2 linked regions of the Bombyx mori genome follow. The protein of the gene in region 1 interacts with the protein of each later gene in a pairwise test. Links are inferred from orthologs where the notes say so. Each region holds a gene or a part of one and is shown on either strand. Other genes may lie near its edges. The genes, in order: B-cell lymphoma/leukemia 11A and nuclear receptor subfamily 2 group E member 1.

Region 1 (4,385 bases):
GGGTGGGGCAGCCGTTGTAACTATACTGAGACCTTAGAACTTATACCTCAAGATGAGTGGCGCATTTATGTTGTAGATGTCTATGGGCTCCAGTAACCACTTAACACCAGGTGGGCTGTGAGCTCTTCCACCCATCTAAGCAATAAAAAAATAATCTAATAGTAGAACAAAGATCTGTTAGATGTTATTACGTATCACAATTTTATTGTAAAGAAAAATAATTATTTGAGATTTCGAGGTCTTATTTCAATATAGATCTACTGTAGGTGTTATGGTTAAGGCAAGCCATGACTTTCAATCCACGCTGATAAATAGGATAAATCGGAGGTAGCAAGATGGAGTTATTCGTTATATCGAATATAGAGTCTTCATTCTTCGATTTCAGTAGAATCAAAAATAATTATACAAACTATTGACGGGTTTTTGAAAATTAAGCTTTAAAATAAATAATATCTTAATCAACCGTGACCTCGAAAAATGTGTTATTCGAATAAATTAAAACTGTATTATTATTTTAGTAACAAAAGTGGCTGTCTAAAGAAATAAAGAAAAAGGTAGCCATACGTTTGTAAAAAAGCAAATGGTCATTGCGGTTCTTACATTATTAATATTTGTATATTGGATTTCATTTTATGAACTTCGTCGGTGAACGATTTTTTTCATTTTTATTGTTTTAGCGTGACTGACTTGGTTCTTATCAATTGAATTCTCACTCTTTGCTGAACCTTAACAACTTAAAACACCTTTAACGTTTCCACAATTATTTCAGAAATTAGCAGTACCGAGGTACTAAATCCATAAATACAATATCAACGGTTACAGCAAACTAAGTTGATAATTAGCTGATAAATCTATTTTTTAGTTAGTAATATATTATATTAAGTTCTTTTTTTGCAATATTAAAAAAAAATACGAACACTTTTTCACAGGACTGTCTTTTTTGCGGAGTCTGAAATTTCGAAAAATGTGTCCATTCATTTCTTGATTTCAGTTTGCTTAATTTTTTTACAGAACAATAAAATAGTATAATTCTGAAGCATCTAAATAGCGGTAGATTTCGTCTGCCTATTTATGTAACAAAATGAAATATTTTTGAACGTCAACTTTTAAAAGTCAGCGGTCTATTCCGTCATTGTCCCTTAAAAAATACTCATCAACTGTCCGAGAATGTATGAAAGCGGCCACTCCATTCATTTTCCCTTCGGACGAATGGTGACCACCTCGTAATGTCAATGTTGACGTAAGACGGGGTAATAAGTAGCTCGTCGTTGTATGAATAGACTCTCAGATGGGATGACGTCGTATGTGTGTTTGCGAGTTTTTTTTTTTCTTCTAAATCTGGCGTTCGAATACTTTTTAAATTTGTACCGAGAAAATGATTTTTCTTTACGTTTTTTTTATTAAAAATAGTAAAATGTATAACATATATTATGTTCTATTTAGTTTCTAATTTATTAATTACTCTAGAAATAAAAAGTGGATTACAAATTTTGATTCACGTCTAACCTCCATAACAGAGAAATTTATCAGGTCACCGTTAGATAAACAAGAATCATGAAAGAGTAAAGATAAATCATTTTTGAAATTATGTACATGTTTCACATTGAAACATGTTTAAATAAGTTAGATGCACATCAAGATGTTTGTTTTTGGTTATTTATTTTTGAATTGCGATTCCTTGAACAAGTAAAATATATTTCTACAACATACGCTTTAGATTTTAGGTTTAGATTTTAACGATATTTTTGTTTGAACACATCATTAATATTTGCGTCCGTATTATTTAAAAATGTTCGAAAACATAAATTAACACTATCACACAATGATTGACGTGTTTTATTCGATATCGCTAAAGACAATTTTCGTACAAAAATAAATCATTATCGGGGCCTTACCTTGCGCGATGCGTACAGCTGGCATTTTGATTCTCATCTTGATTTGGTCACCTATTTTTAGATCTTCGACAACTTGTTTTATCCTTAGAAACAATTTATCTTAATATGTCTCTATCAGAAGACAGTTCGTTAAACTTCACATGTGCCGCCGCCGGTCCAGCGGTTTATCGTGTTCATAAAACGTTTCTGATAACGGAGGTCGACTTATCACAAATCCTCCTACGAGTGTCCGACGGTGTTTTAGAGCGCTCAATCATTTTCTTAAAGTACTCATCGCACGGAAAAACAAACAGTACTTAAGTTACTTTTTCCTTTTCATGTTGCGGCAAATCAGTTCACACGTTAGTTGAATGTTTCGCGTAAATCGACTGGTCATAAATAGGGCCTTATCAACACTTGAATGAGCGTCTCAGTGCACTATCTAATCTATCCGCGCCTAGTGGCGATCCTGCGATTCGGCAAACGGCTCGCTTGGTCACACTCCATTTACTAACATCTGTTTAAACTTCTTCACTTGAAATAACAAATTTTCAGTCACTGTCCGTCGTCGAAATTTCTATAGTCGATATTCGAAATAATAAAATAAATTTACGAACGTTATTAATGTATTAAAATAAAATGGTTTTTATGCAAATATACGTGAATATTTCGTAATGTTTACGAGAGCGATCGCGATCGTATATGTGTCGCGTGCGGTGCGAGGCAGGTGCGAGGCCAGCCGCCCGCTCTCGCCCGGTGTCCGAGAGCGTCTGTCCTGTGTCCCTTCACGCGAGGGCTCCACGGCCTCCGCGTGTCCACGACTAGCGCCGTCTCGCTCCGCCGGCCGACGATGCCGCGTGCGAGTCCATACGAAGTAGCCAGGGGTTACTCTCGGTCGCCGCCGTCTCGGCTGTTCGACGGAGACGGCTGCCGCCGACGCCGATCAGCTCACACATGCTCCCGAAAGAGACGGCTACAAATCACAAGTGCCGTGCGTTGGTGTGCGTGCGCGGGTGGGGCGAAGATGCAACGCGTACAAAAGAAAAAGGGATAATATTTGCTTGCATATTTCATGACTCGATTAGAAGATGGAATTTTTAATTGAAGGGACGGTAAGCGCGGTCAGTGTACAGTTTCAGGGCGTGCTTATATTTAAAGCTCCGAAACTTGAGTGCTCGTTTGAAGTTGTGAGGTACTTTTATTGTGAGGCTTAACTTTTAAGAGCCTGAACGATAAAACGGTAAATACGTAAAGTATGATTTTATAAGTAAAATATGTCCAAAATTTTATTAGGATGTCCAAAGTAAATTCAGGAAATTGGAGAACGATGCATTTAGTCTTACTACCAATAAATTTCACTAAATCTCATTAAATAAAGTCCATTTTATGAAATTAGGTACCCGGTTCTTTTAATACATTATTTTATTTTTTTGTATAAGCATTATTTTTTTTAAAACATTACCAGACTCTACCTCCGTAGTACTGAGCTACGCATGCTACGCGAGCTAGCAATGTTTTTCCCTAGCAACAAAACATTTGGAAAAATGCATTGATTGCATATTTTATTTACGCTCTCATAAGTAGCGTCTAAAGCGAATATCATTTACGATTTATAAATCTCATTATGTTGTTATATACGCGCGTGATATTATTCCGTTTGCCTACGAAAAAAAAAAAAAAGAAACGTCTTAACAATTGCAGAAAAGAAAAATAACCCTCCTCCAATCACTAAATTAAACGTTAAAAACCCGTCTAATTTGAGTAAAAGCGCAACACGTAGCCAAACTGTCGTTTCCACTGAAAGTTTCCGGCGTTTTTTCTTCAACGTTATTTTACTTAAGACGCCACGAACAACTTATCTCGGTCGGTCCTTGACTTTAATAAGTTTTATGAGTGTCAGTCGAGACTTAACCGGCGCGAGAACGAGCCACGAAAACGAAGTTTTTCATAATTGTTTCCAGACTTTGACGGCGTTCGATTATTGAAAATTTCGAATCTCGGTTCGTTTGATTTTGGAATTGTTTTTTTTTTTTTTTTGTTTTGTTTTAAGAATGTCGAGATTGTTTTAGGTTTGTGATTGTGTTTTGTTTGACTGTGTTGTAGAAGAAGTAAATATCTATCAGGGCTATCAGACGTTCAGTTGTTTTGGATTATTTGCGGCAAAAATTTAAATTTTCGTATGCAATTCCACGCTTTAGAGTATCGCTTGATTAAGGTCTGTTTTTATGACACTGCGTCATCTGTTTTCCTATTTATTCCGATATTATGAAAGTAATAAATAAAAATAAATTTGTCAGGAGAGAAAAAATATTTGAAATATTCATTATTTATCTCGTCTTCTAACGCGGAACTGTTTAAGTACCGCTTGACCAAACACACCCCCAAAGGCTATTTATTCCAAACTTAGTTAAACTGGTCACTACAGCTGTCCGGCGCGATATAAAATAATACTATCTCTTTCATATGTATACATGTGGATACTGAAAATTGAGACGACTCAAGGGTTGGGTG
Region 2 (4,266 bases), on another chromosome or scaffold:
GAATACTTACAGGAATAATAAAAATAATCTTTAAAATTGTTTGCTTGTTGTGTATTAGCAATTTATTATTATTATTTATTTACCTAAAGATCGTTGATAAATTAAGATATGGATTGTCACGTTAATGGGATAAATTTATTTGAAAATTTTGCATATTAGAATTTACTAATATAATTGAACAGTACTTTTGATTTTTTATGAACTAATCTAACACCTACATGGTACACTTCATATACACAACTTTTATTACTTCTAAATTAAGGGACAACATACCCGTTGATGCGTGGGAAAATATCAACACATCTATCTGTTACCAAATGGCTACTTACAAAGTGCTCTTTTTCCCATCGACGATCGTAATTAATAACCAGTCGTTTTGTTTTCCCCGGATAAACGTCACGCGACGGGATGAAACAACCCTGCAGGTGGACATTCGCACGGGTAAAACTGATAAGCGTCATTAGGGTTCATTTAAAATGGGATAGTTTTTTTTATATTCGATGTAAATATTAAAGTTTTGATATTGTTAGACTCAATTAGTCTAGGCCATCAGCGCAAAAGTGGCATAAACCACAATTTTTTTATATTCAAGCTTATATGACGTATATTCGAATTTATTTAAAATATATGTAATAAATTTTGATGCAAAACCGGCCTATCCTTAGTTTCACCCATAGATAATAGATAGCTTTGTCAACATAATTTTTGCGCGTATTGTTTTTTTGCTTACTCAATTTCAAATTCATGAAAATTCAAACCTAATTGCCTCCATACTAACTATGGTAAGCTTAGGCCACTTTTGCGCTGACGGCCTCAATTATCTTCTGACGATGAGATCTTTCTCATAGTTCATCCAATCTTACGAGCAATACCACCAGTATCGTCATTTTATTCGTCTACCCCAATTCTCACCTAAGATTGAGTGTGCGTTTTGGAATTCAGTGTGTGTGTGTGTGCGTGTGTGTCCGAGCCAACCGTTGTTACTGTACTTTTTTGTTGCTTAAATGGGTGAATGAGCTCACGACCCGCCTGGTGTTAAGTGGTTACTGGAACTCATGGACATCAAGAACGTAAATACCGCCATCCACCTGACACGTGAATCCTAAGTCTCAGTTTTACGGGTGCCCCACCCTTCAAACCGAGATCATCTCACCGACCCATTTACTCTGATAACAAATATCAAAATGTATCCGTTATCCTTATCAAATTATTTTTAAGCGTTGAAGCAAAACAATAATAATTCGTAGGTAGTCAAGAATTTTAATGGACTTGCAAACCTATAACTATTTATACATTTAAAAGAATTACTACATGTAAAACTACCCTAATTATTTAAAATACGAAAACTGTCATTATCTATGACCGTTTTATTGAGACATTCCCAAGCTCTTTGCTGTAGTGAACTGCATTGTCTCGTATTTTTGTATAGTAATAGTTTTTGTCGACCTTTTCATTCGACACCGCGTTTCCTGCCATGCTCGCAAGTGCTTACGTTAATACAAAACCGCTCTGACTGAATGCCTTTATGCCTTTTTGACTACGGCCGTGTTTGGAGGTGTATTAAAAGATGTATTATCTTATAAATGCTAAACATCTATCGTGGGACCGTTTCGAACAAATTATGAAGTGCAAAAAACATGCGTATTGTTAAACAGGAATCAGAGCATTTGCTGCGTTGTGTTTAGACAATTTTATTTCATTACTATAGGTAATGTTCGTTTTGGTGTATCGGTAATATTGGATTTTTGTACAAAACAAGTTTAAGTAAAGTGTTTGAACAAGTGAGCGTGTATTGTCAAGAAAGAAAATCTTTAGATTGCGCCAAATGGAATCAATGACAGGTCATCATTATACATACATATACAAGGTCCGGAATCCGATGAACCTTTTTGTTGAGACCCTTCATAATTAACGATAAAACCAACCTCAAATCATTGACGATAATTACTTTGCTCATTTGACAGTTTCAAGGGCACCGATAGCTATAAATTACAGGCACCTCCCCTAGTGGGGCGGAGCCCTAGCCCACCCTGCCCCGGACGTCGATCTCATTGTCCTCAAATCAAATAATTGTGACGTTGATTTATTAATCTTTAAAACTTTTTTTTTGTACCGTTTAGAATATAGATTTCTGATATAGGTATGTAACAATTTAAGATTAAATTATAATTTTCGGTGTGATGAGACAAGATTAGATGAGTACTTTAAATATAATTACACTTCCTGCAGGTTTAACTTTTTAACGTCATCTTAATTATCATTGTAAATTTTTGGCGTTGTTCTTCAGAACAAATACTAATAATAATTGTTTGTAGGGTCAGGTTAATTTTTACAAAATCGTTTTTTTTTTTGTTCAATTAGGTCGCATTCTGTACGATGTGCCATGTGCCGTGTGCCGCGATCACTCGTCGGGAAAGCATTACGGCGTATTTGCATGTGACGGGTGCGCTGGCTTTTTCAAAAGGTCCGTCAGGCGAGACCGTCGCTACACCTGCAAGGCACGCAACCCTGGCGGGTGTGTGGTTGATAAAGCACACCGAAATCAGTGTCGAGCGTGTAGACTTGCCAAATGCCTGGACGCTGGAATGAATAAAGACGGTAGGCGTCAAAAACAAACAGAATATAAATTAACTATAAAATTCCTCTAGCTTTGATAATTTATATGCAGATTTTTTTCAGCTGTTCAACATGAAAGAGGTCCTAGAAACTCTACGATTAGACGACAAATGGCATTATTTTTGAAGGATCCTGCGTTACCAACACCAGAAATGGGACTCACAGTTCCACCTCCATTAGATTTAGCGGTACCCAAGCACAACTTTATGTCCCCGCCGCAAAATTCCTTATTCCAACATCCGTACCCGTTCAATAGAATTCATATGATTAATCCTTCCGTAGTCAACATATCACTGAAAGCGCCTTCGCCTCCACCTATCACAGCTGCCTTGTTATCTCCAAAGGATCCAGAAGCGATGTGCGAAGCTGCAGCTAGATTACTGTTCATGAACGTTAAATGGGCAAAGAATGTTCCCGCGTTCGCATCATTATCATTACCAGACAGGCTACTGTTATTGGAAGAATCTTGGAAGGATTTGTTCATAATCGGTTCAGCTCAGTTTTTGTACCCATTGGACCTCAAGATTCTATCTGAAGGAAACGCCAGAATAGATAGCCGAGACGTGGAAATGTTCGAAACTTCATTAGCCGAAATTGTTAAAGTCCATCCAGATAGTAACGAGTATGCCTGTTTAAGAGCAATTGTACTGTTCAAAACGAGCTTTGTAGATGTTAATATATTATGCAGAGGTCAGTCACAGATAGGCTCTGAATATAAGAGGCTTCAAGATCTCCCCGCGGTTGCAGCGTTACAAGACCATTCGCAATTAGTACTAAATGAGGTGAGTTTTAAATTCTAAAAGGTTTTCCATACGATATATAATAACATAAACACTTTTATTTTATTAAACTCTTTATTGCACACCAAAACACAATTGCAGGTAGTTTAATAATCTAAAAGTACATATTATTATCCGCAACACGCTTCGTCAAAAAGTACAATACTTACTTTCAGCTACAAGCGTCGTCATAAGTAACTTATAGGTCCACGCAAATAGCAATGCGCGCATAGGCATCGGCTAGTCAAAGAAGCCACTCTGGATCGCACCCGGCCCGAAAGTACCCATAATTAAACTGTATAATTTAATGTTAATTTTTTTTATTGCTTTGTTTAGTGGCCGATGGTTGGTTCATGATTCACATAGAATTAACACGTTGACTGTCGTGTAGGTCACCGGTGCCCTACGCGGCCTACTGAAGTAATTATGTTGATTTCTCTCTTCGATTTTCTTCCTAAGGCGCCGTAATATCTAGTAGATTTTAAGAAGACGAATCCGAAGATACTGAGAATGAATCTATTTTCAAGAGACCAAAAATATTAAAATATATTAGAAAACAAAAGAACGCAAAGTTGACGCTTATCACTAATTTTATAAAATAAAAGCCGTACTCGCCCGCTTCGCTGGGCTTTTAAAATCAATATTATTATTTATTGTCATTATTATTAGGGAGTCCATTATAAATATTAGCCTATCCATTACGTACATGTATTTTCTACATGGATACCAAGTTTCAAGTCAATCGGATGCATGGTTCAGTAGTTATAACTGAACATCCGTAAAAAACCAATGTAGATTTAGATATTAGTATAGATAGCCGCTGAAAATGAAAGCTCATGTTTGTTGTCTCTGTTAGGGAGATCTCATGAAA

Evidence for each region.
Region 2: the proteins of B-cell lymphoma/leukemia 11A (region 1) and nuclear receptor subfamily 2 group E member 1 interact in a two-hybrid assay, tested with the Homo sapiens proteins (2 studies listed by BioGRID). The link is inferred for Bombyx mori from reciprocal best matches to the Homo sapiens genes BCL11A and NR2E1.

Annotation. Positions count from the first base shown.
Region 1 is NC_085124.1:5,042,662-5,047,046, forward strand, and holds the start of B-cell lymphoma/leukemia 11A, read right to left. Parts: upstream 3,061-4,385; 5' UTR 1,933-3,060; coding exon 1,896-1,932; intron 1-1,895. UniProt on the Homo sapiens protein: Transcription factor. Associated with the BAF SWI/SNF chromatin remodeling complex. Binds to the 5'-TGACCA-3' sequence motif in regulatory regions of target genes, including a distal promoter of the HBG1 hemoglobin subunit gamma-1 gene.
Region 2 is NC_085107.1:4,787,069-4,791,334, reverse strand, and holds the start of nuclear receptor subfamily 2 group E member 1, read left to right. Parts: upstream 1-1,365; 5' UTR 1,366-1,825; coding exon 1,826-1,841; intron 1,842-2,361; coding exon 2,362-2,598; intron 2,599-2,679; coding exon 2,680-3,398; intron 3,399-4,266. UniProt on the Homo sapiens protein: Orphan receptor that binds DNA as a monomer to hormone response elements (HRE) containing an extended core motif half-site sequence 5'-AAGGTCA-3' in which the 5' flanking nucleotides participate in determining receptor specificity.